Lonchura striata: one gene and its partners. The protein of the gene in region 2 interacts with the protein of the main gene of each other region in a pairwise test. Links are inferred from orthologs where the notes say so. Each region holds a gene or a part of one and is shown on either strand. Other genes may lie near its edges.

Region 1 (7,353 bases), on a different chromosome or scaffold from region 2:
CTTAAAACCATGCCAGGAGAGATTGTGGCTTGTCTCTGAGGAGGCTGCAGAGAAAAGAGAGGCTCCTCGTGACAGGTACCTTTCCTGCCACGTGCAGTGACAAGCAGGGGACACTGCAGCCGGGCACAGCTGCCACTGGGCAGGGGTTGGCTGAGGGCAGCAGCTGCACACATGGTCACAGTGGCCATAAGAGGAAGAAAGATGCTGAAGCCAAGTTTCAGGGAATGTGACTGATCACAGGAGCTTTGGTGTGATCGGAGGAGCCCAGGGAAAGGGCTGCTCCTGTCAGCTCTTAAAAAGGAGCAAGGGACAGGTGTGCAATTACTCTCAATAAGCATGTTGTGAGCATTCAATCTAGCATTGAAAGTTTAATTTTGGACTGAATTGGTTTATGCCCGTGTAACCCACAGCCATATCAATGCCTCACTGCTTATCCAACTTAACAATCCAAGGATTCCTGGCAATCGTGCTTTCAAGATCTCTTTGCCCCACATAATAAAGGTCATATGCAGTACAACAGAATTCAAACGTGAAAGCGTGACAGGAAATGACTAACTGCACACTGAGGCCAATGTACCTTCATCTTGGATCAGCTCAGCACACAAGAATCTTGCAACTCAAACAGACATCACAGCCTATATGCAGAAAAAATAATCTGACTGCTCTAGTTGCTACTTCTTGGGGCCTGTGCATCTCAATGTAGATATTACATGTATATAATGTAATTCCGCTCTATTTCCCTGAAGTTCTCACAACTGAATCCTTACACTGTAGTTTGCACTTTTCATTCCCTTAGAGACAGCTCCTTTTAAATTGAGGATGAAGCCATTATTATTTCTGAGTTGATACATAATTTAAGTTAGTATTTACAAAGCTTTTTGCAGTCCATAATAAAAGATCCTTACGAGATCATGTCTCTGTTTTGCCCAAAAAGGCAATCAAGGGACTGCCTCAAGCACTGGACACAGCCCTAGTGATTGTGTGTTTTGCTCACGTGCTGAAAACCAACCTGTACAATTTGAGCCCAGTCCCCTATTCTCTGTTTCCCCAACAAGCCTGAAAGCTCTTTTGCTGATTAAGGCTCTGCTCAGCTTCATGTTTCTTTTCAATAAACAAAACAACTTTGACTTCCAGTAGCAGAAAAAGGCACATATCCCAGACATGTTTTATTTAATGCACGCCTATTACTTAAAGGGCAAAGTGAATTTTTTCACCAAATTTGGTCAAAATACTCCCTCTTCCGATTTGATTCTTTGCCTCTCAAACACAAGTATTTGCAGTTGGTTTCTTGCATATAAACAGATCTATTGATGGAGAGAGGTAACGTGCATCTGAGTTTTGTGCCTTTTGGGGCTCTCCAAAATCCGCAGAGGGAAGAGAAAGCCAGGAAGGTGACAGGAGACACTTTTGCACTCCCTCTCTGCCACAGATCCCCGAGGCCTCCCCACCTGTGCTGGCTCTTAGCCCAAGAACACGGACAGACTCCCTGTAAAGTGCTTTTTACAGCTGCTGGTGTCCCTTGCAAGCAAAGGCAATGCCAGGCCTGCAGCACGAAGCATGCAAGCAGCTTCTAAATCTGGGGGAGGACTGAGTCCTGGCAAAAGACAAATTGTCTCATGTTACCACCCTGGGAACAGCTTGATGGTTCTCCCAAACAAAAACTGGGATCATTTGTTGCCCGGGAGATGCTGTGTGTGCCAGCTGCAGCCCTCCCCAAACAGGGCAGCGCTCTCAAGGGCAGCACAGCCGAGCAAAGGGGACACATGGGATGGCTGAGAGGGGAAGAGAACACCTCCTAGGCAGTGTAGAAGTGAAATGAATATAACATGGGCCAGTTCAATAAGGCCTAACTAGTTTTAGCTCCTTCAGCTCCCTTCTGTGACTGAAGGCTTCTCTGCCAGGTAATCTGGCCAGAACGTGTCATTTACTTTCACGAGCTGGTTCTCTTCAAACCATTCTCACTGACACCTTTAAAATTATTCTTCAGTACTGCAAAATTTAAATAATAGAAGCCATCAGTTGCAATTGTTACGTATTTTGCATAACATCTCTACAAAATAACTCCTTGCAAGCGCTAAAAGGAAATTTGCAAGATGCAACATGCGCTCCTGTTTCTGCTGTGCAGAGATAATCTTTGGTGGCACCCATAAAAGGGAAAACTGTGCCACGTCCAAAAGATTATATGGAAACAGGTATTGTAAGGAACACAAGTGCCCACAAAGTGTATGAATGCCTTTATATCATGCAGCTACACATGGAGTTTCCACTGGACATGTCAATCTCAGAATTGGAGCTGCTGCTGGCACGCAGCTCAGTAAAAATGTGGACTGCCTAAAATCTCAGAAAGAGAGGAAAAGCTGTTTATTTACAGAAAAAAAATCCAACATGAACAGATAAGAAGTAACAATATCAAGAGTCCTTGATCCAGGTCCGTGGCTCCTTTACAGAACATCATTCTTTGATTCCCATCTGAGATTTACAAGGGCACCTACATGAAGCACGTCTCTCAGAAGTTAAAAAGGATCAGAAAGAACAGAATTTTCACTAACAGGCTCCTCTCTTGGCAACTTTCAGCTGAAGAACAAGAAGAGCTGCTGTCTCAGCCCTAGAAGCAGCAGATGTGAAGCAATGCCTGTTTCTTTGCTGCAGGGAAGGTGCTCCACACTCACTGATGATGATGGAAGCAGAAGCAACGTGCACTCTGACTATTGGGAAAAAGTTCCCAAAGCTGTTCACATGCCCAAGCAACCCAAGGATCAAGGGCTTCACTGCAATGCCAACAACCCTTCCCTCTGTTCTGGAGCTGATCAGAACAAGAGTGCTCCATTTACAAGCCATTTGTCCCAAACTGGCAAACCCTGGAAATAAAAGCTCAGCCCAATTCGCTTACCTTGCATTGCTGGAAGCAGTGGAGCAGCAGGGACCCAGCTGTGCCAAGGTGCTCCTCCAGCCCCTCACCTCAGTCAGCTACAGCAGGTGCCACCAGCCAGACACTCTCACCAGTAAATCATCACTTCACCAGCAAACACTCAAGTGCTTGTCCAGCAACAAAAGCACTCACATCATAAACCAAGGGTGACATCAGCACAGGGATTGTGTTTCCTACAGGGGTTTAAATGTCATTACTTGTGACTAGAAATTGGACACTTGCATTAAAAGTTACTCTAAATTTTCACAAGAGACGTGATTCCAGTTTTGTGTAGACATATTTTACTTCTAATGCCTTTATATTGCTGAACATCATGATGACAGGAAAAAAAAAAACAAAAACAAAAGAGAAGAGAAGAGAAGAAGCAAAACTCCTAACATAAAGTGAAAAACTCATCATCATTATCAGCCTGACTTACCAAGTCAGGTGCTAACAAGGTGAGCAGCAGAGAGCAGCAGAACCTGGATTGTCACTTGAAAGGGTCAGTGTGGCTCACACAGCCTGATCTAATAATTATTCAAGGTTTCTACATTGCCCTCTTCCATTCTTATTCAAAGTTCTGCTCTACATATTCCAAAATTAAAACTCAAAGCTATCAAGGACCTGAAAGCATTATTTAATCATGCTGTAGTTATTACTGTTTCACACAGCAGGAAGCACAACACAGTCCGTGCACCTTCACCAACCTGACGTGCAGTTATGATTTCCCACACTCAGCTCTGGGCTCTCCAAAAGCAACACATCCAACACTTCTACACATGCACACCGGGCCAGATTTAATCTTTCTGTGAGTTATATGGTGTTTGCTTAGGGTTGAGAAATAGCAGAAATAAAACTTTTCTTGGCTGAGATAGATGCAAAACACGCTGTGCACTTTTTGCTTTTAATGACTCTTGGTGAGTACCACTACCAGTCTATGTATTCCAGAATGTTCTGAGTTAGGCACTCAGCAGTTTTCTTAATGTCAACTGTTCACTGAGTTAAAGGGAGCCACTGAAATGCCTTTAGATTTAGATGATGCCCTTTCTTTTTGAAAATGTCCATGTGCCAAGAGGCAGATGAGCATAAATAATCCAAATTTAAGGAAACAAACTAAAGATTTACCTGTGAAGCAGTTTAGCTCCCCGATTCTCTACTGCCAGTAACACAAATGTGATGATCCAGTGCAAGATCATTAATGCAAAAAAGTCCTCAGTTTCCAGAGCTGACACCCCACACCTCTCACTGGATTGTGGCTTCCTCAATTCCCTAACAGCTGTCAGCAGCAAAAACATTATTTACCCTTGTATTACCCACAGGTCAGGGAGTAATGCTATCTCCCTCCTGGGATTTGCACCTCAGAGAGTTCTGGCACTAGGCATGGCCTGTAGAACTAAAAATGGAACCAAGACCCAAGTCCCATCTTTCTTCTCCTCCTGAGATGCAGCACATATCCCTGTCAGTGGAAACTGTGACACCCACCAACGTGGGGTACAGACCTGCATCTACAGATTGCACAACCCTGACCCTGGGAGAAGCAAGAGAAAAGGGAGGAGGAGAAGGAAGAGAGGGACATGGTCTTTAAGGTGCCTTCCAACCCTGTAGCAGACAGACAAAGTGCTGTGCTGTTCCAGAGTCCAGATCTCCCAACCAACACCATGCCTCTGCTAGTTGCCCTTGCTATTCAAACTTGGGGTTCAGCAGGGAGCAGCTGAGCTGGCAGGCAGAACTGGGATAGGGCAGCAGCAGGAAGTTATGCACCAGTTCCAAATGGGTTCGTTTTTAAGAAAGGAAAAAGCCAGTTTTCCTTAAATGAGGGTGCTGGAATTCCAAGGTGAGGTCAAAAGCCTGGCAGAAATCAGGAGTTTAGGCTGGTACTGGGGCTCATGATGGTGACAAATGCAGTCCTTGCACTCAGGGGCAGCTTAGGACCCATTGATTTTTTGTTGTCTTCCCATCCTGAGCAATATCCAGGAACAGTGCCATCAGGTGTGGACCTCAGAGAGGAATTTCTGTCTTCAACTGTGCTGAAGGTTAGGCCTTTCAGATACATATTTTATATTATTCCCTTTATTTTGTTTCATTAGAAGAACTACAAAAAGACATTTTTCACAAGAAGCCTGAGTGTACATGCAGGTTGTGTGTGATCTGCAACCACACAGTCCTGAACCATGACAGAAATTACCTGTGATACACTCACATGGAGGAAATCTTGTGTGCTTGGATCATTCAAGAAATAAGGCTGCTTTACAGATACAGGAACAACACATGGCCAGAATGTGTTCTAAATCGGTAAGATACAGGCCAAAAAATCAACTGCTAATTGTTTTTACAATTTGTATTTTATATTAAAAAACCCCCTCAAGACCTTAAGAGGCAGAGCTGAGCCTAGAAAGGATTTTTATGGTTAAACCTGAAAGCAGGGATCTAGGACAGAACTAGTCCACTACATTTCAAACTTTGAGCCTGGGTTCTGCCTCAAGCAGCTGGGATTATTTTTCCAGTTAAGCAAATTCCTGCTTCTAAAACCCACTCTGATATTTAAATAAATTTGGAGAAGATGCTGAGTAGTCACTCTGCTTCACAGATAACAAATCAGAACTGCATTGTTTGATGGATTTCTAAGAGAACACTTGAAATTTGGGCAAACAAATTTAAAATATCAAGGTCATATTTACATTCCAGGGTAATAATTAAATACTTAATATCTTGTGGTTCCACTATTTTAGGTTTTTCTACACACCAAAATATTTAGTCATGTGAAAACCATCTGTAGCAGCTGGAAGACATTCATTTGGCATGCCAAGATTAATTAGTTTAAAAATACATAAATAAAGCATTCATTTTATTTCCAAAAAGCTGTTGTTCTTGGTTCTCTTAGGGTGTTGGTGATTAATGCTTATGGAAGGTTCTCAAAAAGAGGTATCAGATGCCAGTTTCACAAATATCTGTTAAGTAAAACAAGGCCTGTGTTTAGGTTAATGCTCTTCTGGACTAAGCCCAGTCATTATTCACAGCAATACAAAAACTAGCTTGCAAACACTTCAATCCCTATTTTTATTCTTTCCCCTATGCTCTCAAATCCACAATGCTAAAATGTGCTTTTAAAAATTGATGAAAAGAAATTTCTCTTCAGGACTGGGGTTCAGATACCCGTGTTTAAGAATTACAAACCTAAGTGCCCAAGTATGTCTTTTTTCTTGAAGAAGTTCCTGCATAATCTCCATAGAGCTTTTCAAAGTCAAGTAAACAAGACACACAGCTGAAACTGTAAAAAGGGTTGAATTTGGCTTAGTATCCATAGGGATCACTTATCTGGCCAACAGCTTGCAAAGGGTTATTTCTTGGCTCATCATTTTTGTTTTGCTGGAAGATGTTGAGGTTTTAGTGAAGTTTCTGCAGAGCGTGCAGCAGCATTCAACATTTTTTGCTCAGCTAATGAGTTAAGTCATCACAGCTCTCCAATGGCTTGAAGATTATGGGTGTAGGAAAAGGGAATGCTCAGAAAGGGGAACTTTTGAGCAGTCACCACTAAACTGCGGTTAAAACAGACACCAATGACTCTATTCAGCTCCCAAACCTCAGACAGTTTCCATTTTCTCAATAACAAAGCATTTTTGTGGAATGAGGTAATGGCCTCCATCTGCCAGGTCGACATCTCCACTAAGATTTCTCAAGAGTGTGGCTGACCAGGGCTGGCCAGCAGAGCCAGAGGCAGGAGAGTCCCTTCAGCCTGGGCAACACAGGGCAAAACTGCCATGGGACAGACGTGGAGAGGAGCCTCTGTGGCACCATCTCACAAACTCTCCTGGGAGTTTGATTCACAAGCAGCCTGGAGCAAGCTCCACACACTGCCCAGCTGAAGAGTCAAAAGGTCAGGAAAAGGGTTGAGATTTGTCATTATGAATGGCCAGGGACAGGCAGGAGGGAGCAGAATGGGTGCCATAAGTCCAACAGCCCATCGTGGGTGGCTCATGAGCAGAGAGTGTGTGATTTAAAGCAAAATCAGGCACACACTGCCAGATGCACAGTGCAAAGGGCAGGGCAGACATCCTGCTCCCTGAGGACAGCACTGCCTGTGGGACTGGCCACTCAAGCTGCCATACACCCCCCACCTGAAATACAAAATATCTGAGGCAGAGCATTTACAGCCTCTGAACACAGCCTGGGAGAGGGTCTGGGTTTGTTCTTTCCTTATTTCTTGAATTTAGCAGCTTATGTCTTGCCCTCTCAGTTCCAGGGATGCTGAGCACTCAATCATTCTTTTGATTTCTGGCAAAGCCAGCTCAGTTCTTCTGAAAAGCAGTCCTTCATTTAGCTCCAGATGAAGATTCCAGCTCCTGTCAGGACCCCCTCATCTGACTCTTGTCTCCCTGTGGATGGCCAGTCACTAAGCTCCCTTGCAATTTTGAGACTCTCAGCTCCAGGTTCAATTCCCCCCATCT
Region 2 (7,441 bases):
TCCTATCCATAACTGCTGCCTTCCACTTTTTGTTCCAGAGTGCTGCAGCACTTCACAACTGCTCAGCACTGTGGTGAGGCAGGTTAGAGCTGCAAGGACTAGACACAGCAAAGCTATGTGTGACAGCCTTGCCAGCCACAGTGCAGGATCACCCTGTGTCCTCAAACAAGTGCTGCCTTAGCAGGAACACTGAGAGAGTGAGCACTTAGTCCATTTGGAGCGAACTGGCTATTTCAGACAACACTTGCCCCTTTTTAAGCAGCTGTGGGTCTGCAAAGTGTTCAAGACCTCATTCTGTTGTTTAGACATGGTGCCTGATTCCCATTGCCCACACTGCCTGGGAACACTTCTGAAATTCCAACTCAGACCGACAAGTTCCAGCTTCCAAGCCTCCATCTTCTCCACCACATGCTTTCTCAAGATCCAACAAATGCCTGACCCTACTTGTCTTGGGAGCATTTACTGCAGCAGACACAAACAGAGCTGTCTGTAAGTGGAACACTTCCTCTGGGATTGCGTCCTCCCTCCATGCTGAGTCTCACGGGCCAGGCTCAGTCACTTCTTGCTTGGGCAGGCTCACAGCAAGGAGAGTCCCACCAGAACCATGTACACAGCAAGGCTGGTGGAGGAACCTCATGCTCTGCAGTGACAGTATTGCAGCAAAATGCATCTGGCAGAAGGAGACAACTTGGAAGAAACTAAGGTGTGAAGAATTGAGTGTTGGCAGCCTTAATAAGCTGGATTCCCAAAATGAACTGGAAGGATTTGGCAGAACTCAAATTACATTTTTAAACAGTTACTGTAAGTGTAAATGTTATTTTATCCACCCCCTTGAACTGGATCATCCTGGCCAGCCACCAGGCAACCACACCCATGCTGTTACTTTTACAGCTGCAGAGATGGGGGTCAAGATTGTCTATATTCTATGTAACTCTAAACCTATTATTAAAGTAACTCATTTGCAAATAAATCATCCTTGTTATGAAGCTTCAAGTAAAAAGAATAAAATAAGAGCTTGTGAGCTGGAGATCCTTTGCTGAGTGCAAATCCTCCTCCCTTCCCCGAACACATTTAAACTGTTAACAGGAATTTGGTCACCAAGGGAGCTCCTTATGTCATTCAAATCTGGGGAAGTTGACATGGGAATCATTAAAGAAAAAGAAACAATAACAAAAATACCCCAAAACTAATAATGAGGTTTATCAAGTAATGGATCTTCACAGGAAAACAGAAAAGATATTGCATCACTCAAAGGTCTAACACCGAGCCAGAACATCTCTGAGAACATGATTTTTAATTCATTCAGCATTACTTTTATCAGATCATGAGAATGTAAGCCTGCTCCTAGGTGAGTCAGTATAAAGCCCCACTAACTTAGAGGGAGGTAAGATCTCACCTACTGTGGAAGGTTTGAAAGCTTTCACATGATTCCTGAGAGGAAACAAGTAGCTTGTTGTCTGTAGCCTTTTACATGATCCAGCTCTAAACACTTAGGGGTCCAGCTCTGCATTTGTTCAGCACCTCACACCAGCCTGCTCAAAAGTTGTCTTTTTCTGGTGGCACTTTTTGAGTTTTTTAAATTGTAACCTTTTGTCTTCTTACAGGGCCAGGTTTGAATGTTTTTTTTCTGTATTTTTAGGAATATCACCAAAACTTTTGAATGACAGGCCAGAGGTATAACACATTTTCTTTTAGTCGTAAGGTAAAAAAATTTAGGTTTGTTTACTTCTGCAAGTCTACACCTGGTTATTCTTCCACTACTTTCTACCATGATTCTGTAAGATACTGGATATTCCTGAGAACCACAAACAAATTTAATGTTAATCAAACTTGCTCTTCAATATTCATGATATCTTTAAACAAAACAAATAAAGGAATAAGTTGTTATTAAGCATAATGTTATTTTGTGCTTGCTAAAATATCCACAAATATACATAAAGATTAGTCAGCTTTCATGTGATGAATTAAAGCCACAGGATGAGCTTTAAATTGATACCACATCCATAAAAATATTATTGTGAAACTGAAACAGCCAGAGCCAGGCTCTTGTCTTACTTTATGGTATAGAGAATTCTGAAAGAAATTTACACAGAACATATTCCCTGATTTTGAGTAACCATTCCTTATGTAGTGTGCCTTCTCTGGCCCTGTATTTTAGGGCCTCTAGCACTAAAATACAGGGCCAGAGGTCTAGCCACTCGCTGTTGTGGGTATAGACCAGATAGACCTTGAGTATCTAAGCTGAAATATTCTGTATATTTTATTTCCACAACTATTATATACTTATATTTAGACACAATTTTTGTAATAACTAAAAAATACTAGAAAAGAATTGATTAAATTTGCTTACATTCTCTACCATCTACAAAAGCATAAGGTTCATTATGGATGTTTCTAAAGGTCCTGTGCTTCTTATCAATATGTAAATTTAGATTGATTTTTTCTACAGGAAGATTATATTTTCAGTATTTTTCCATTAGTTTCAACTAACATTTTAACACCAAAACATTGTATTTTTTAATACTGGCTATATCTGGAAATCATTATGTTTTCTGAATCCCAGACTAAAGAGGGTCTAGTACAAGCAGCAAATGTATTTTTGAATGCTACATATTAAGCCCCCCCCACTTTTTTTCTGCCCATGGTCTACGTGATTTGGATCTCGAGTCCCTTAAGACAGTGCCCAGATCTTGCAAAGTGCCTTTCCCAAAGGAACACTGTGAGTTCCTGCTCAGAAATCTTTTAGCAGCTTATAGGAGAGAAACAATAAGCCATCTGTCATGCAAAGTCTGTCCTGTTACAACCAAAGGGAGAACTGAATGAAAAAAATAGGTACGCACAGAGCGAACTGGTAGTGACGCATTGTTTTCCTCCACCTTCCCTGCTCCTTCCCTCTGCGGGACCTACCTCAGACGCCTACGGAGCCCAACGGTGGGAGCCACCTGTGAGGAGACCATCCCCACCACAGCTGTCCTGCCCCGTTACTCCTGCAGCACTGTCCACCCTTCATCTGGAAATTACCTCATCCTTCATCAACACGTGTCTAGTTGTTAGAGGCCTGGGAACCCGGCACTGGTGCTCCGTGGTTTTGCCAGGGAATAGCCTCATTTTATGAGTCTCAGGATAAAATAATCCAGTAGTACCTGCAGAGTTGGTACTCACTGCTCCTCCCCCATTTTTAGGTCTTTAAATATGTGAAAATCAAGTGACACACTAGTTTTACACTTCAGAGAGCAGCATGCCAGGCAAAGAACACACATGAGATTTTGTGGGGGGAAAAGTATCAATGGTCTCTTATTCACTCATCTTCCAAAAAACAGCACCACCAAAACAAAGGCACAACTGTTCCCACAGGATAAAGGGAGCATTGATAGTGCTCCTAAAAACAAGCTAGTGCACTCTTGACATTCCTGTCTTGTTGAATCTTCACTAAACTGCTACAACTGCTCGATTTCAATTTGTCATGATCACCAACAACTAAAACTACCGTAAGAGCAAAGGAAGTGAATGCTTGTGAAATGCACGTCTCCATGAGCAAGCAAAAGTGCCTAATGAGGTATTAGAAGAACAGCAGGACAAATATAAAGTAGAAATTTGAAGAAAATTATCTATTGTATCTGACTAATACTTTTTCAGTAATATTACTTTTTGGTCTTAACGAAAGTCCAAAGCACTGTGTCCAACATTTAAGTTACTGATGCACACACAAAGGCAGAATTGTCACAAGAAGTCACATGGCAGCAAGTACCAGACAGGACAAACACTGCTCAGGAAAAATTAGAAACAAAAGTGAAAAAAAAAATTTTAAAATATTTGCTATTTTACACCTTCCTGTAATTTTGAGAAGGCTCTAAATATGAGGGCAAGGAGCGACACATGTGACTGAATATCTGAGTGGTTACAATTCTGCTAAAAAAAACTATAGTTATTTTTCAAAGTTTTCTGTAAACCAAAAGAAATTATTTCATTCAGGAACATGAAATATTTATGATCAAATTTGCAAAGCATTTTGAACCAAATATAAAAATTATGTAAATCTTTAGTTATATTTTAGTTATATTAGTTATATATTAGTTATATTTATGATATTTTAAAGGTGATACAGAGGCTTCTACAATTATAACCTGCCTTCCCCCAAAATAAATAATTTGCTTTTTTCCAAAACATATTAAAATTCTGCCTAGGTTCATGAAGAAATTCTGAACTAAAACATTTCACTCAACCCTTACTCTCTCAATCTTGTTTAGACTGAGATTTTTTAATCTAAGGGAAGAGCACTGGTATAGTCTTGTTGTGTTATCGGCCAACATTGTACAGAAAAATGCATGTTGTTTTCCAAAAAAATAACTGTAACAAGCACTCAGGGAAAGCACTATCACTATATGAAATATGAAGGGTGAAAAAAGAGAGATAGTTTTTTCCTGATCTGCTGGAATGCTGCAAACTGAGATGTATAGGGCTGCTTTCCAAGAACTCAGAAGAACACTGCCAAGTTTATCCCATGGAGCTGAAACACCCCAGCATGATAAATATGACAGTAATTTTGTTGTCTTTATTGAGAGGACTGCCTGTGAGCTTATAGAAAAATTTGTATTGAGCTAAGGTTCATCCTGCCTGCAGTTATTAAAGCAAAATTAATTGGGTTTTATTTACACTAACCTACGAGAAGTATACTTCCAATTTTAGCTTTCAGGGCCAGGAACAGGTTTCCATACAGTTATGCTGAATCTGCTCTGCATGAAAAATGTGAACAGAAGGGAAGGATGTGTCCCTCTAAAGAAGGACCCAAAGAACAGCACAGCAATAAAACATTTTGAAAGAAAAAATAATTTCTAAAATATGGAATTGGAGTCAATATGTAAAAACACAACAGCAAGCTTCAACAGAGGTGAAAAATTGCAATTGATTTCAGACCCTGAAAGATGATAATAGCATTCCACATAGACACAGGTCATCATCACAGGACAAATAGTGGTGACCCCTAGAGAGATGCAGAATATTAAATGTCAAGATTAATTATTAGTAAATAATATTTAGTGATTTACTTTTTTAAAAATAAACTCCAGACTACGCTTCCAAGTGGCTCTTTTTATTTCACTTGTGCATCACCTTGTATTACCTATAATAGTTTGTACTTATATATTTCTTTTCAATTAATTAAATAAAAAAGGACAGATGTTTCTTATTTTGGTCTATATGCATGACAACATAGAAATCTGGCACTGACTCATTCTTGAAGTAGATTTACCACATGCCCCAGTCACAAAACAGCAACACACAGTATAATGTTTCTGGAAAGAATCTTGCTGCAATAAAGTGGATCACAGAAAGTTTGCAATCTCTGAATTCTATCCAGAATATAAAACACCAAAAATTCCCATGATTAAGTATTTGAAACTGGAACCAACTCACAAGCCAGGGTGGAGGCGAAGAGGAGGGGGTGGAAGTTAGTTGTACTTTGCAGGAAAATGCATTCCTGTTCAAAAATTACTACAAACTGCTGACCACAACAAGTTTTACAATCACACAGAACATCTTTTCCAGTCTGTGAAATATATTCAGTGAACACACTATTTGAAAAAAATGTTAATAAATTCATAAATCAAAAGGACTAGCACAAGTATCCAATTTGATATGCCTTACTACACAGGTGAGAAGGCTTCCCTGAATGAATGCCAGTTTGAACTAAACACATCCATTTTAGTTACATTTACTAACAAATCAACTTGTGGTTTCAAAAACTCTCAGTGATGAAGAATGCACTATAAAACTCAGTAGTTTAACACCTAGTTAACAGCCTGCTATATGCCACAGGATGTGTGTCAAGGCCTGAGGGTTTTATTTTCCAGGGAAATGCTTATAATCTTCAGGTTCCCTTCATCCCTCTCTTCAAATGCTGAACAGCTTGGTCAGAGTCCTTCTGGACACACACACACCTTCATTCCCAGACCAAAATTTCTCTCACACCAATGACATCTTTGCCCTAGACTGAAACCCCAGGAGCATTTCCTGAACCCATATTCAAAAAGCCCCATTAGTGCTTCTGGCCACACTGCCACTTTGGGAGCACATGAGTAAATAAATAAAACAGCAGTATCCCTTGTCTCTTTTCCAGTTGTTGTTCATAAGGTCCAGCATGTTTCTTGCACATTCACAGATGACTTTTCCCAAGAGACAAGGAGCTGAGGAACACACCATTCTGTCCAGGGCAGCATCTGTGCTGACAAAACAACATCTGCTCCCACCTTGCTTGACCAAATGACCCATCAAGGTACCCTGGACAAGTCACCCAAAACCTTGGCAGCTCATTTTATCTCACTTTAAAGATAGAACTTGGGGATGCACAGCAGGGACAAGGACAGTGGAGTGACTTGTGCAGACAAGCTCAGGAAGCTGAGGGCAAAATTCAACCTGTCCCTCCATCCAATTAAGTGACCAAGTCAAGGCAGCTTGAAGTGTTCAGGATGCCACTGCCTGGAGGGGTGACTGGCTAACAGCTGGTGCTGACTGGCAGGATGCTGCCCCACCTGTAAGGCTTCAAGGAGATGCTTCTGGTTCTTCCTTCAGGGGAAAAATCTAGCGATTCAGGAGTGGGGCACCACCTCCTGTGGCTGCTCCAAGCACAGCTCTGCCCAAGAAGCAGGAGCACCAAGTTTCACAGGCTACTGGGAAGTTCCACATGCCCAGTCACTAAATAGAAACTTTCTTCTGAATCTGATTTTACCCTCAACCCAGTAACAAGACTTTCAGGAAACTTGTGTTAGGAATGAGAAAGAAATTATCAAACAGTTAAAAAAAATCATAAATGTAGAGAAAGAGAATAATGATAGAGGGAGAGGAAGTCAGTATTTTTACATGGTTTCTGCATAGTGGATCTGCTGCAGGGAAGCTGCCAGGAATATTTAATTTTCCCCTTTTTTTAAACATCTTCCTTTTCGTTTTTTTTAATGTAGAGTGACAGCTTTTTGGTTATTTGTAATTATATATATATTTATATATACATACATATATATATATATTCTGTAATTATATGTACTTTTGTAATTTGTTTTATATAAAGCTATTTTGCATATTACAGTCAAAGTCCACTAAGATACAAATGAATAGAAGCATTTTAGACACGCTTCAAATCCCCCAGACTTCCTACTACAGAAATAAAGGAAACCAGCAATATCAACAACCACAACAAAGCTACAACAGGATGTAGGACGACATTTCCTAAAAGTCAAGAATCATCTTCAGGATCAGTGCAACACTTTGCCCATTCTTCATCTGTGGCAGGCTCCAGAGGAGATGGTGAGAGCAAATGCACGTCCATGGGGCTGTTCATTATCAAACATACAGAATGCTAATGTGAACACCTTGCATTTATTCATACTTTGCCTTTAAGTACTTTTGCCAGCATTAATAATAATGCTACTACTCACAGAGCTTTCGTAAG
Region 3 (7,594 bases), on a different chromosome or scaffold from region 2:
TTTTGCTATAAATGGCCTCTTTATTGGAAATAGTCTCCTTTTACCTTTTCATCTTGGACTGTTTGAACTACCTAACCAAATTTTCCGTTCTGTAATGCATTACCACAGATGAGGAAAATAAAAATAGGCAAATATTATAATTCCAGAAATACTGGAATATTATTCCTTCTAATGAACTAGTTCCTTTTAATATGTGCAGAGAGATTTTTGGTATTGGTACATAAAAGCTTGTGCTTTAAAGTTTAAATGCAGAAACTCTGTGCTTACACTTCTAAACTTGGAAAAGAATTCATGTTCTTTGAGAGTGTAATCTGGCATGAAATAAAGATAGAAACAAGACCACGTGGTGGATATTTGCTGCTCAACCTCATAGTCAACACAGGAAGAAATATAGGAAGCCCTATTTACTGGAAAAACTAGATGCTTCAGGTCCCTTCAGCTGCCTTGCTGTATGGACAAGGCCTTTTCTTTCAGGACACCTTGGCAAGAACAGAGATCTGGCTTGCAGAAGCATAAATAGACTCTAAATTACCCCAAATGGAATGCTCTAATATGCCATAAAACAATTCCCTCCTTATCAAAATATTAAATCCTGCATGCTCTCACCTACTGTATGTTGGCAGCAACATAATAAAGAAAAAAGTGGATAATACAGGAAATATTATCATCCCAGAGTCTGAATTTCTCATCCCTTGCACCAAGGAAATAACTGTCAGTTCTGTGGTTGCAAAGAATCATGCAGGTAGGAATGCACAGTCTAAAATAACTTGTATATAATTCTGCTTTTCTTTTTTCCTATAGATTTCTCAGTAATCTGTACAGTTCTCTGCACTGGACTCCACCTTTTCAGAATGATGAAAGCAGTAAGTAAAGTTGTGGACATATAACTTTTAAAAAAAATGTTGCTAGTCATTAATGAGAATTGTCGCATACAAATTTTTCAGCATTCAGATGGTGAATATTGGTTCAGACCCACTTTTCCTAGTATATACCTTTAAAGGTGTTTGGGGAAGATGTGTTTTCTGAAAAAAGAAAAAAACAATGTAGAACAAAAAATAATATCTAGATATAGAAAACAGAAGAATAGTTGCTTGGTATCTCACCAGGATTACGTATTATTCTAACCATGTTTCAAAATGCCATTTCTTGTTTGACAAAAGGAATGTCAGAGACTACACTGCTTCTGAACTACTGTTGTGTGAGTTCAAAGAGGAACTATTAAGCCCTGGATCTGTGCCTGAGCTTTTTATTCCTGGTACTATCAAAGGCTGTGATCATTAATCCCAGTTAAACAAGAAGTCAGCATGTTCCACAGAATGAAAGGGTGAACCAGGATTCAGGAGAGAGATCTCTTGCTCCCGCTTCTGTTGATGAGGTGTTATGTCACTTATGAAGTTCATGTTGGCTGAGCTTCTTCTACTTTTTGCTCAACGATTTAATATTAGCTTGGGGGCCATAACTATATATGTCTAGATTTTTCAGTGTGTTGAGCCAATGTGGCAAACATCATGGGTAATGAACTTTTGCAGAATAAAGTGTGCATTTAGATGTATTATAGTTATATATTTAGTATATTTTCATTGTAAATTCAACTATTGGGAGCTTATACACAAATAATTTTACACTTGCATTATTAAAGGAGGTAAAATCCCACTGATTTTGAACAAATCTTAGCTCATGCCACTATCTCCATCTGATTGTTTCAGCCCTTTTATTTGAAGCTGGGTCCATAAATGAATGAGTTGGTTTGTGCAGAAGCCAATATCCACATTATTCTTTATCCATTTTTGTAAGGTCACTATTCACATTTATCACTGGAGTTTAATATGAGGGCTCAGTCCCGTGCTCCATTTCCTTATGGAGAAGCGACTTCTTTTGTTACTTACATACTTCACCATTAAAGAAATCCCAGGAATCTTCAGTGGAATTTAATCTTTTTATTCTCTAATCTATGCTTGACAGATACTAAGGAAGAAACAGAATATTTGCACAAAAACTACTCAGCAGACATATGGGAATAAAGATATGTCAACTATTCAGCAAGGATTTACCTGCTATGCCTAATTTTGCAGAGGAATATGGAAAGAATTGAAAGGTTAAAAGGAAGGGCAAGAAATATATGGCAAAGCCATGAAAAGTATTTATTGCAAGACAGGAACTCACAGGTATGATAGAGTTGCACCTCATAAGCATGTAATTCTAGAACAGACATCCCACAGGAAGGTTACTGCAGGAAAAGACTTAATAGAGAATATGAATGAATGAAATACTGTATTTCAAGGACTAAGGGAATGAACCCAGCCTCCTAGGACTATTTGGTTTGTTTCCAAAATATAAGACTCCCTTTTTAGAAGAAAATGAATTTCCAGTCAGATGGACCAGAGTTTTTGGTGATGTTTGTTTTTTCCCCATGTGGTTGAACAATGATTCAAAGGATTCTACATTAATAGAAGCAGCTGGTGTGTGTTTTAGAAGTGAGTAGATTATAAAACTTAACAACTTAATAAAGCCAGTTGGCTATGTGAGATGGGTATGCATATACAACATGATACCTTATGTGACTAAAATGCATGTTAAAAATATCTGAGTTTTCTCTTTGTACTGTTGTCAGGTGCTCAATATATGAAAAATGTCTGTTTGGGTTTTTTTCCTCAGTAAACTGCACCATCTTGTAATTTGGGTAGGATGATACTGCAGAAGGAAATCTGTGTTTCTTCTCTGCTCTTGAAAAATCCCAACCCAGTAAATTCCACTTCTTTTGCCCTATTTTCTTTTCACCTTGCATGCAGCTCATGAACCAGTACTCTCTTGCTTCATTAATGAAGTTTCATCTCAGTCCTTCTTTTTTCATCTCACACTTACACTGATGATCATTTCTGCTCCCCTGTCAGTGTTGCACAGGAATCACAGGTACTCTGCTGAGTTGAGGATCACTGAAGCACAACGAGCTTCACACTGAGATCAAACCTTGTGGATCAACAGCACAGGATCAAGATGTTATCATCTTGGGATACCAGAATTCAAGGAGGTCTGGTCACTGACTTTAAGTGACTAGGATGGTAAGCAAAGGGCACTTCTTACCATTATAGCAATGCTATTTGACTGCCTCTGTTACCTTTTCTGATTGCTGTCAGGGATTGCAGACTGCCAGTACTACATTCCCGTTTCCCTTCCTGTCACTGATGCAAGTTTTTGGGCCACTGCCTAGAAGAGATCTCTATAACAGAGGTCCCTTCTGTCCTTTTTTCCCCTGACAGAATGAATATTCTCTAGTTCCATACACGGCTGTTTTCAAAGGAGAATGTGGAGTCCTTTCATAACCTTGAACTGAGGCATCTTCATCTTGGGGAGAGAGTTTCCTCAAACCCTTCATTTTTGAATAATTTGCAGTAGAAATTGATGCCACACTTCTCCCTTTAGGACAGAAAGGGCAGAAGTGGGATCCCTTCCTTATTTGATAGCTTTCTTATCCTCACTGAGGGTTTCTGTTCCTCCACAGAAGGGACACAGTGCTCAGTAGTGAGGAGTAAACACAGATTCACAGAATGGCTGATGTTGGAAGGAACTTCTGGGCATCATCTTGTTCAAATCCCCTGCTCAAGCAGGGCTGCCCACAACAAGGACTGTGTTCACATTAATACCTTCATGGATGGAGACTCCCCAACCTCCTGGGGCAGCCTGTGCCAGGGCTTAGTCATTCTCACAGTAAAAATTGTTTCCTGATGTTCAAAAAAATCTGTGTTTCAATTTGTGCCCATAACCACTGGTCATGTTACTGGGCCCCACGGAGAGGAGCCTGGCTTTACCCTCTTTGCATTTTCCCTTCAGCTATTTGTGAGATCCCCAAGCCTGCCTGTTTCTCAGCTGAACAGTCCCAGATCTTTCAGCCTTTCCTCATGGAAGGGATGGTCCAGCACCTAAACCATGGTCATGACCATTTGTTGGACTCTCTCCAGTATGTTCACGTCTCTGTACTGGAGCAGCCCAGATCTGAACCGAGCACCCCAGGTGTGTCCTCACCCGTGCTGAGCAGAGGAGCAGGATCACCTCCCTCGACTTGTTGGAATCGCTTTGCCTAATGCAGCCCAAGGTATCATTCTTCTTTGTGGCAAGGGCACACTGCTAGCTCATGTCTAACTTGATGCTCACCAGGACCCAGAGTGGGTGGGACTCACTCACCCAATGCCAAACTGCATTCCAGTCAGGTAGTTCCCCACCTGTCCCGGCGTCTGGATTGTTCCTCCCCAGTGGCCGGGCTTTGCCCTTCGCCTTGTTGAAGTTGCTCTCCCGGGGTGCCGCTGGGTGCACAGCGCTCCTGTGCCCAGCTAGAGGGGCAGCGGGAGCTGCGGAGACACCCAACCCCCCGGGCTAGGGAGGGCTGCGGAGGACGGCGAGGAGGACGCAGGGAGGCTCAGGAGCAGCGTCCCGCCGGGGACGCCCGCTGCCGCCTCACCTCCCTGTCGCCGCGCCGCCGGGACAGCGCCCGGCTCCCGGGGCTCCCGGTGGCCGCCCCCGGCCCTGCCCCTGCCCCGGGGGCGGAGTGCGGGAGCTCCAGGCGCGCAGCGAGCGCCGCCAGCCCGGCTCGCCCCGCACACGCTCGCACTCGGCGCAGCCCGCCCATGGCTGACAGGAGCCTGATCGAGGGCGCCGAGCCCCGGCCGCGCCGCGAGGAGGCTCCGGAGTGGGGCTACGAGGAAGGTGAGGAGCGGGCGGCGACTCCGCCGGGGAGAAACTTTGTCCGCTGCCGGGGGAGGAGGAGGCGGTGTGGGGATTTCAGCGGCGGAGCACGGAGCGCAGCGGGGCTCGCTCCCAGGCCGTCCCGCAGCAGGTCCATCCCCGCGGGCGGAGGCAGCGCGGGGCGGCGGCCGCGGAGCCGCCGGTCCGGCCGAGCAGCCCCGGGGGCAGGCGGGGTCTGTCTGACCGCAGCCGGGGCGCCGGCTGCCCCGTGACCGCTTTTCTCTTGTGCCTCAGGAGTGGAGTGGGGGCTGATTTTCCCCGATGCTAACGGCGAGTACCAGTCGCCCATTAACTTGAACTCGAGAGAAGCCAAATATGACCCCTCGCTCCTGGAAGTGCGTTTGTCACCGAACTACGTGGTGTGTCGTGACTGCGAAGTGATCAACGACGGGCATTCGATTCAAATTGCCCTGAAGTCAAAATCAGGTATGCTGAAACATGGCCTTAATTTTCCCGGCTAAAACTTGTGTTGCCCGAAGACTCACTGTACTCATGTCCTGGAGTTTAGGAAAAGCAGCCTTTTCCAACTGAGAGCAGTTGTGCCCATTCAGCATGGACTATGCTCAGTGAGAGTGTTGCTGTTGACTTTGGTAGGAAGGGGAGCAAGTGTTGCAGATTTCGATGCCAGACTGGATGGTCAGTGAGATTGCTTCAAAGCACGTCCAGAATTTCTTCCTGGAGTGGTGGTATCCAATTCACTGGCATTAACATCTGTCTGCACTCAGAAGCAGTACAGACTACCGCTACAGTGTAGTGCCAAACTGTTCCATACAGCTGGCAAGATTTGTTCATGGTTCAAAGACCATGTAAGTTAAAAGTGCTTTTTCTCATTAACTTGAGTGGGTTCTGAATACTACCTCCAGAACTGGACAGCTTAAGATAGATACACCAGTTATACATGCTCACAATATTGATGAGGACCAAGTAGAATGCAGTCCTCATTTCTTAAAGGATGACATTTTTGGTGTCACTCATCAAATATGATTTAAAATAAAATAATAAAAGAAACAATTCCAACATGAATGAAATTGCTATATCTTATCCAGACTTTTCATCTGGGTAAATTATTCTCTATGAAGGAGACAAGAAAGTAGGGAGGAAAAAGTCAATTTTTCTTTCCAGCACTGCAGCAGTTCTTACCATGTGTTTGGAAGAGCCTCTATGTTATTCTAACCAGTCTTAGCTAGTAACAGCCCTTTGGGGGCATTTAAACAGCTGAACATTGTCAAACCATGAGACATTCCAACTTCTTGTTTCCTTCTGAGAAGTCGGTAGTACTGGGAACTACAGCTGTGCTAAGTGAGGGAGCCAGTTCAGTTTCACACAGTTTTTTAAAAAGGAGAGGTCTGTTATCTCAGAAATAATTATTTCCTTTATAATTTCCTTTCTATGATAATTTCCATGCATTTTTGCAACACAGAAAGTTTCTTTACATGGAATTTTGCAGATTTGCAATAAAAGAAATGTTGCACTTCCCATCAGTTTTACTGCCTTCATCAGAAGCGGAGCTCTTTTCCCAAGGGATAAGGTTCTCCTTGCAGGATCAGGAGTTCTTGAATTCTTCTGTGGAGGAAGTGAGAGTGACCACAAGTACCTCATCATTCACATCCCAAAATGCAACTCAGTCCATCCTACCTTTCCCAAGGGCAGTTTCTAGCTTAGTAGTGATAATTAATAAGATGGGATCAACACACCTTTGCAAAACCATTAAGAAAATTAGAAAAAAGGAAAGACTTCTTTTACACTTTAATGCAATGTGATGCCAGACAGATGTCTCTTGAATTATAAGAAAATGTGAAATAGAGAAAAAGTTTATGACAGACGTATGGAATTATGATTTAGGAACTCTTGGTTTAGTTTCAGCTTTTCCTTAAATATAATGTTACGTAGTTTCCCTTTTTTCCTTTGTAAACTGGGAATAATTTGGGAGGGAGAAGATGGCATTTATTAAACCTACCAAGAGGAGAAAAGAGTTAATAAGCTCTGATTGAACCTGGCCTAGTATTCTGGCCATTTTTCAGGGACTGCAGAAACTCCTACAGTTTCTTTTCCTCGCAGGAGATCTCTGATGACATATCCATTTAGTCAGATTATTTTGTTGGGAACTATTGAGCACTGGATGCTTTTGAAACTCTGTCCAATTAATGTGCAAGAGATCCTCATCTACTGTAATGCTAGCAGTCAAAGAAAAAGTTCTTTATGGAAAAACATAAACTGATTAAGATACATATTAAAAATAAATTTGTCATTACTGGTGAATGTTTTTATCCTTTAATTCAAGACATGCAGTCCATATAGAATTCCCAAATCCTGCTCATTATTTAATTGCAGACATTTTCACAGCTGCTTTCATTTTGATAGTGGAATACGTGTGGTGCATTAGGTGGATGAATCATGACCAACTATGAAATAGTTCTATAATGGGATCAGTGTCCTAACTGAAGCCTTGGAAATAAACTCTTTGAAGCTCCTGGAGATCCAGAAATACATCTTATAAAAAACATTTCTTCTTCTAGTTACAGTTTTTCTCGGAGAAATGTTTTAAAACAGAAAAGGCTCAATTTTCCTGATTGAGATTATTATTTTTATTCTTCTAATTATTATTGTCTTAATTAAGAACTAATTGAGTATCATGATTCTTTTTGTTTGTCCAGATTTCTTAAATACTTCAATTGGTTTATTTCTCAAGTGTTCACTGGCTTTGTAGATTTTCCCTTTAGGGGATATAGGTATAGATGGAATATAGATAAAGCAAGGTTAAGAAGCAAATCTGGATCTATAATTATATTTAGGATATTTCATTTTGGAAACTCTAAAGACTGTTAGATTAGTTGTGAAGAATTATTAAAGGAGTATT
Region 4 (7,428 bases), on a different chromosome or scaffold from region 2:
TTCCTATAAATTGCTCCTGTCTTTTCACCTGTGTGTGTATCAGATCCCCAAGACAACCTGTAAAGTCATCAAGTTTTCTCTTATGAAAATGACTGTGAAACACAACTTCAAAAATGCATTTAAGTATTGTGTTTCCTTTCAGGACAAAGAAAAAAAAAAAAAAAAAAGGCGCAGACTTTCATTTACAGGGACATCCACCTTTAGTGATGATGTTTGTTACCAATCATGCTAAACTGAGGTCAAAATGTCAAAAATGTCAGTACCCAAGCAGTTCCTACAAAACCCATAAACCCCAAACTCACTCAAGTCCACTAGAGGGTCAAAGGGTTGATGAGTTTCCTTAGAAAAGGAAACATACGACTGGGCTGCCAGCAAGACTGGACACTGCAAAAGCTAAAAGCTGGGTACTATGAACACATGCTCTAAAGCTATCCAGAGGGAAAAAAAAACTACATATTCTACACAGAAGTCACATAGTTTCAGTTCTCCACTCTAACACACAATATGCCTGAATCCTGACCTGAAAGGAAAAGGAAGGAACCCTACAGCAGCCCTTGAACCCTGACTCTGTGGGGGTTCAGTTGCTAAACTGGCAGTAACTGACACTTCACATTCTGACTCCAAGTAAAAAGAGATTCCAACTCAAATTAAACTGACTTAAATCTAGTATTTCCCTGGTTTGCCAACAGCCCTCTTTTCAAAGGTAAATTCAGGGTGGCTCAAAACTTTCTTCCCTAATATTACTACTGCCATCACTTCTGGGACAGAACTGAGTAAATCTGACACATTCCAGAGGAAAACATAATTTTCCTAAGAAGTCACGTACAGCTCATTCCTGACAAGAGAAAACTAGAACCCTTTTATGTGATTAGACTACAAAAGAAGTGGTGGTAAACTTTCATAAGGTACTGAACCAGCACACTGGGAGGCCCAATATTTTATACAGGTTATTTATGAAGTAAGATAGTTGTTAGTGGTTACAAATATTTTCACAACTTAAAGGGATGTATGTAACAAATTGAATCCTAATGTATTAAAGGTTCCAGGATAATATGCAAAAAAAAAAAAAAAAAAAAAAAAAAAAAAAAAAAAAAAAAAAAAAAAAAGAAAAAAAAAATTTTTCATGCAAATATCCACAGACTTCACAAAGAATCATGGAAGCACTTCTTTTACTCATGCAAAACCCCTGACCTAAAAGAGAAGCAGCCACTATAATTAAAGACTTTACAGAAAATGAAATAACACTAATTTTAAGGCACATCAAGTGTTGTGGCAATGCTTTGGCCAGTGTTCTATAAGTAACTGTATATAAATCTGCATACTCAAACTCACTCACTAAACTCCAAAAACAGCTGTGGTCTGATCTATCTCAGACTTGCCAAAGCGCTTACTCCAATGTCCTTGTGTTAAACTGAGCTGGAAATCTCTTAGCAGAAAAACACCAGAACCCTCCTCTCTGTGAAAAAAAAAAAGACCGAAAGTATCTTTTAATTTCAGGATGTTAAATGTCGGTGTAAGATAAAGCAATGATCCAACTATCTCCCTCCACAGCTGACAAGAAACCGAATGTCAAAGTGCATTGCAATGTATAGCAAAATATTCTTTAATCTGCCAGTGGCAAGGGAAAACACGAGGAAAAGGAAGTGGGAGAGAAAAAAAAAGGAAAAAAATGGAGAGAAGACTCATTAATTGAGATCTAGCTTACTATATAGCAGAACCCACATTATATTTTTTTGCTAAACCTTGAGAACTACTCATGATCTGAAAATGCCACTCTCAGAAATTAGTTCTAACTTTCTCTTTAAAAAGGCCTGGCACGAATGCCTTATTACTGTCAACGCTTAAAAAGCTCGAAACTCACTCTAGTTACGCAGTATAACACCATTGTGTTTACTGCTGTCATTGTCAAAAGAAAAAAAATCACATCAAATCAAACCTGCAAAAGCCTTTTGCAAGCCAAACCTTCTTTAAATAACAGATTCAAGAGTATCAAGCACTAGGCCTTTACAGAACCACACAAACAATTGCTGTAGCACTACGTAAACTTGGCGAGTGTGGTCCAGCACCATGGCTCACCGAGATCACCCGCTCGAGTGCCCAAGTCCCCCAAAGGGCAGCGTTTCCAATCCCATTTCCTATCACGGTAAACCCAGGAGCGCAGCTGAGACAGATCTTCCCCCCTCTGCCATCTTTCCAGTAAGTCCAGAAGGAGCAATGACAACCAGAAGGGCAGACAGAAGGACAACCAGCCCTGCCAGGGCCACCGAGACCTTCGTGGCTCGCAGCGGGGAGGGTGCCACGGGTCCCGCCGGGTAAATAAGGCGGCTGGCAGAAAATAATTAAGGGGGCAGGGTGGATGCAGGCCTTAAAATTGCAAGCAAGGCTCAGAACTAGTTACACATGGACGGTGGAAAAGCTAAATAAAACAAATAATTTAAAAACCCGTAAAACGCTCAAAACCCACCACCTCGCCTTGGGGACAGATAAGCCTCCAACTACCCCCGCCCCCACACGAGAATCCAGGGGGGCAAATCTCCACAGATGGAATTTTAGCTCCCCCAAAACCGCCACTCCAACACACCCCCCGAACCCCTCGGCCTACCCCGCCCCCAACGCAGGCCTTCGGCTTCCCCCACCGCCCCCCGCCGTGCCGACCCCCCCTCCCCCTTACCCGCCGCGGTCTCGGTCGCGGCCCCGGTCCCCGAAGCCTCTCATCGCCCCCGGAGGGGTGGGTGAGAGGCAGCGGAACGCCGGCCGTGGGGACGGCGAGGGACTGGGGGTACGGGGCGAGGGTCCAGCCAGGGGCGGCTGCGCCTCGGAGGCCTCGCTTTGCGCCACCTCGCCTCTTTGGTGGGACACAAAAGGAGAAGAGGTGGTCAGAGGGTCCGAGACCCGCTGGGCGTCAGCGGCCGGAACGGCGGGGCTCTCGGTCGGCTCCAGGGCCCGGGTAGTGTGGCGACACCAGCGTCTTCTTGCTCCGCGCTCCCGGCACAAAATGGCCGCCGCCGCCCCGGCCCGCTCCGCTTACGTTACGGGCAGCCTGGCGCTGCGCAAACTCCGGCCCTCCGAAACACCTACGCCTATTCTCGGAACTCAACTACGCACTAAGCGCGCTCGGCGAAACACCGCCCCGTGCAGTAGCAGGCGGGCTACGAAAGGTGCGTAACGTTCTTTACTTAGAGCCGGGGCCCCGCGTGAGGAAGGCGGAGGGGAGGAGTAACGCTATTCCCCAAAGTCAGCTGCGTAAGGAGCTCTCCGTAACCCCTTCTGCAGGGCAGAGAATACCTGGGCCGAGGCGCACGTTACGTAAGTGCACGGCGTACGTAAGGTGCGTAACTGAGGGTAGCGTAGGGCGGGAAGAGCCCGGTGCGCTTGGCGTAGGATTCTTACGCGGACCGTGCAGGCTGGGCCGGAGGGTTACGCTGGATTCGCAGACGGTTTGAAGAATACGGCCCGTCGCCTTCTCGCCCACGGGCTCCGCCGAGGTGGCGGCGGGGTTGAGGACACGATGATGGGACAATGGCGGAACAATAATGGGACGCTGGGCGACGGGGCGGGAGCGGCCCTTTGGACCTCTGTGGCGGCTCCGGCGGCCGAGGTTATTCCCTGTAAGATTAGCAGGGGGATCTCGGCGCGGCGCGGGGGCAGGAGCAGAGTGACAGCAGCCATGATGTTTGCTGTCGCCTGAGCGCCGGCAGGCCGCGGCAGAATTCCCCACATGAGCCAGAGACTCCTCGCTGAAAGGCAGAATCATCCACGAGGCGATTACGTGGCACAGACCATAAATCCTTTTGTGTTGTGTATGCGGTATTGCCAAGTCAGTGTGTCCTGGCACAAGGAGATGGTGGGGTTAGCCCAGCCAAACCCAGCCCTGGCCCACACCGTGTTTCACTATCAGCAGTAATTTCTGGGCTGACAGGTTATCGAAAGCTGCTTATACTGGCAGAAGGGAAAAACAGTCCCCTTTACTTTCAGACCCATGGATAAAAATAACAGCCTAGAACGACACAGAAATTACCATTTTAGTTTCACATCGTATATACATATGTATGTATGTATCACATGTTTGAGAAAGCAAAAAGCAATCTGAGTGCTTAAAATAAAATGCAAGAGAAACCTGGGTCTTTTAAGTGGGTGGCACAGAGTCAAGTGACACTGCATGCTCTCACTGACACTGGGTACTTGGCCGCTGGATAAAAATGCCTAGTGTGGGAAAGCCTGGCACATGCAATGGACTGGACATTGCATTAAATGGCAATGACTGATCCATTCCTGGCGCTATCAGATGAAGCAGCTTCCCAGCCTACAGCTCTCTAGACTTTTCTCCACTGTGAAAAACAGTGCTCTACCTCAGGAAAAATATCAACTATCTGTTAAGAAACCACTTAAGGAAGGCAAGCCCTCTAGGTCTGTCACAAGGAAAAGCCTGGTTAAAATGTCAGGCTTCTTTTCCATTAATTTCTGGTCATTGCTACCTTTTTACTTGATGTTATCTTAACTTGCATTTGGTAACCTAAACAAAAACATTATTTTGCCAGTGAGGACAATTTCTTTGACCAGATACCAAAATTAGAATCACTGTAATTACCAGAGGACAAAGCAAGACTTCTCCATTATATCCATGTGTGTGTATGTATGTTTAATTATAATTATTATTATTATTGTTTAATTTATAGAAAAGCAAGGGATTCCATGAGCATTGGTGATATTGCAAAAGGAATTGTTATTTTGGCCCCCAATGCCCTGTTTGCATCTTTATTCCCAGTTTCTTCTTTTGCCCCCTGTGACCTACATCTCTGGCTACTTCAGAGCTGTGCCTGTGCTGCTGGCTCCCTCAGCAAGCTGAATCTTAAGTGCCTTTTCCTTGGTAAAAGTGCTGGTGCCAGCCTCTCCTATTTAGCCACTGCATTTGTTTTATTCTTTTTAATAGTAACAATATTTACTATTACTTAATACTAATCTTTAATAGTCTTACTTATCCTAGAAGAATGACAAGTCAATTATATCAAGTTTATTTCTTTAGAGAACTAGAAAAAGGTTTTAATGTATTGGGTTTTTTTTTATAATATATTTTTCTCATGAAAGATCAATGAGATTTTTGAGAGTGGAGTTTAATGCGAAGCACCCAAACATAGTCAGACTTCTGTTCTACTTCATAGTCTTTATTTTTAACTTTAATAAGAACAGGTTTAAAACATTCTGTCCAAAAAGTAGAAAATGCTAAATAAAAACATGAACATTATTTAGTCAAGATAAAAATGTTTAAAAACATATTCTCAAAACTACTTGTTCCTCTACAGTACGTGAAAATCTGTCAAGTTATTGAGCTGTTGTTCCTCCCACTGCCTTTTCCATCTATATATGTGAATTTTATAACTGAGATTATTCTAGTTCTGTTGCATTTCACACTATAAATTCTACCACTTAGACACTCTCTTTGAAATAAATTAAGAAAGAGTATATTCACTCCCATGTGAAAGGACAGGTTTGATTTTCACAAAAGATAGGAAAAGGATTCTAAGAACAATTCACAATCTAATGGCTTAAATATTTGCATGCCAAAAGTTCAATTGAAAAACAAAAATCCTACATGACCAAAATTTTAGTTCAGTAAAACTGAACTGTACAAAATCTATCCCAGTGTTCTCCCAAAATATCTTAAATATCTCCCAAAAGCTACAAATGCAGCCATAGGTAGTTGTCAAGCTTTCACAAATCTTCATCACAGCTTCCCTGCTGGTTTTTTAGTACATTTACATTACATTTTTTTACCTATTCTTTGGCATCCCCAATCCCTCCAGCAGTTATTGCAAATGTGGCTTCATTTTCAGGCATCTCAGGGCTGGGCGAAAAAGATACAAGAAACTTGTGGGTTTCTCCATATAAAATGCAGTTGTGAAACAGTCTCCAAAATGCTGTGGGTGTGAGCGACCTGGAATACCTCAGTGCCTTTATACCTATGTGCAAACTGTAGAATCTGATCGATATCATCAGGATCAGAAAATGCGAAATTATTGTGTCAGGAAAACTTAGGAATTTAAAATGTCCAGAATCTTCCTGCCAAGGGACTACCAGTCCTACCAAAGCTTCATTAAGAGCTAAGCATCTAGTAGGATTTATGATGAAAGATTATGTTATTTAACGTATGCAAGGTGCAAGACAACTTTAATCAGTTGTTTAATCTGTTAATTAGTTTGTCCTTTCAGATTTTCTCCCAATGTACCATCCAGACAGTTTCAATACCTTGAACTTTGTCACCTTCTCTCCCGTGAGGGAAAGGTGGTTTACCTGTCATAGATCTTTGCAATCCGCAGCTCCCCTCTCCCTTTCCTCAAACTGATCCTGGTAGTCGAAGCATGAGCAAGGATGTGGCCCCCGATGGGCTTTTTTGGGTCTGCCTGAAAGCTGAATTAGCAAGAAAATTGTGGTGATTCACTGTGCAAATTCCAGAGGTTAAAACTGTGCTTAACTGTCAGACTGAGCCCTATTCAACCCAGTAACAAATAATCAATAGGGAAATACTTTAGAAACTTGACTTTTGCATACTTGTCTCAAGATAATATGTTCATATGTTCAATGCTGGCATAATTTTCCTGTCATTACATATAAGAGGCTCCAGAAATACACACCTTAAATATCACATATGAGCTGCTCCAAAGGAAAATGTGGTGCTTTTTCAATATTTTTTATAGCTCATTTTCTTTGTTTAAGTCACAGTGAAATCACACCACCATACCAGGCAGCAGATAAACACAAAAAAGCTCATTCCAAAAACTGAGAGAAACTTCCAAAGGTCATTTATGTATTAATTCCTAATATCAGAGGAAACAATGACCAAACTGATGTTTCATTTCAGTGTCTCTTGCTCCTTACAATCTCAGTTCTCATTTCTGTTAAATACATAATACAAAGTACAGGATTTTTTTTTTAAGAGAGAGAAAAAGTATTTTACGTCATAGTTGCTCCTGGGTCAGCAGTCATCTGGTTGGTCACAAACACAGCCACATTATATTCTGCAAGAGAAGACATTTCAAAGAAAGTAGACTTCATCCAATTAGAATTCCAAAATATTCTCTCATCCATGGTAAAAGCAAGGTTTCTGCTGAAGCACTCCAAATTTTAAGTGAACGAGAAGAAAATATTCTTTATGACTGATGGCTGCAGTTAATCACGACACAGCCTAATTTGCTCTTGCATGGCTTCAACTGTAATACACCAAAATTGAGCACTTTTTACAATTCCACTGAACAAGTCTTTCTCAGTTTCCATCTATTCTCTGCTGGCTCCCTGCCCTCAGCTCTCTCTTCTTCCCTTTCTCTGTTTGAATTTTTTTTTTTTTTTACATCAGGAAAAAAACATTTATTAATTCCTCATCAACATTTCTGAGACATTCCAAAGAGAAGGAACTCTAGTCATCCTATCATCATC

Evidence for each region.
Region 1: the proteins of LNX1 (region 2) and FHL3 interact in a two-hybrid assay, tested with the Homo sapiens proteins (2 studies listed by BioGRID and IntAct). The link is inferred for Lonchura striata from reciprocal best matches to the Homo sapiens genes LNX1 and FHL3.
Region 3: the proteins of LNX1 (region 2) and CA8 interact in binary tests that used the Homo sapiens proteins (3 or more experiments, as listed by UniProt). The two-hybrid records come from large-scale screens. The link is inferred for Lonchura striata from reciprocal best matches to the Homo sapiens genes LNX1 and CA8.
Region 4: the proteins of LNX1 (region 2) and DDX17 interact in binary tests that used the Homo sapiens proteins (3 or more experiments, as listed by UniProt). The two-hybrid records come from large-scale screens. The link is inferred for Lonchura striata from reciprocal best matches to the Homo sapiens genes LNX1 and DDX17.

Annotation. Positions count from the first base shown.
Region 1 is NC_134628.1:4,832,454-4,839,806, forward strand, and holds the start of FHL3 (four and a half LIM domains protein 3), read right to left. Parts: upstream 3,022-7,353; 5' UTR 2,898-3,021; coding exon 2,891-2,897; intron 1-2,890. UniProt on the Homo sapiens protein: Recruited by SOX15 to FOXK1 promoters where it acts as a transcriptional coactivator of FOXK1.
Region 2 is NC_134606.1:26,799,728-26,807,168, forward strand, and holds the start of LNX1 (E3 ubiquitin-protein ligase LNX), read right to left. Parts: upstream 3,005-7,441; 5' UTR 2,908-3,004; intron 1-2,907.
Region 3 is NC_134603.1:37,466,760-37,474,353, forward strand, and holds the start of CA8 (carbonic anhydrase-related protein), read left to right. Parts: upstream 1-4,572; 5' UTR 4,573-4,619; coding exon 4,620-4,698; intron 4,699-4,971; coding exon 4,972-5,163; intron 5,164-7,594. UniProt on the Homo sapiens protein: Does not have a carbonic anhydrase catalytic activity.
Region 4 is NC_134607.1:23,793,638-23,801,065, forward strand, and holds the start of DDX17 (putative ATP-dependent RNA helicase DDX17), read right to left. Parts: upstream 3,002-7,428; 5' UTR 2,716-3,001; coding exon 2,672-2,715; intron 1-2,671. Other genes in the region: DMC1 (meiotic recombination protein DMC1/LIM15 homolog), read right to left, coding at 5,773-5,842, 6,289-6,405, 6,953-7,013. UniProt on the Homo sapiens protein: As an RNA helicase, unwinds RNA and alters RNA structures through ATP binding and hydrolysis.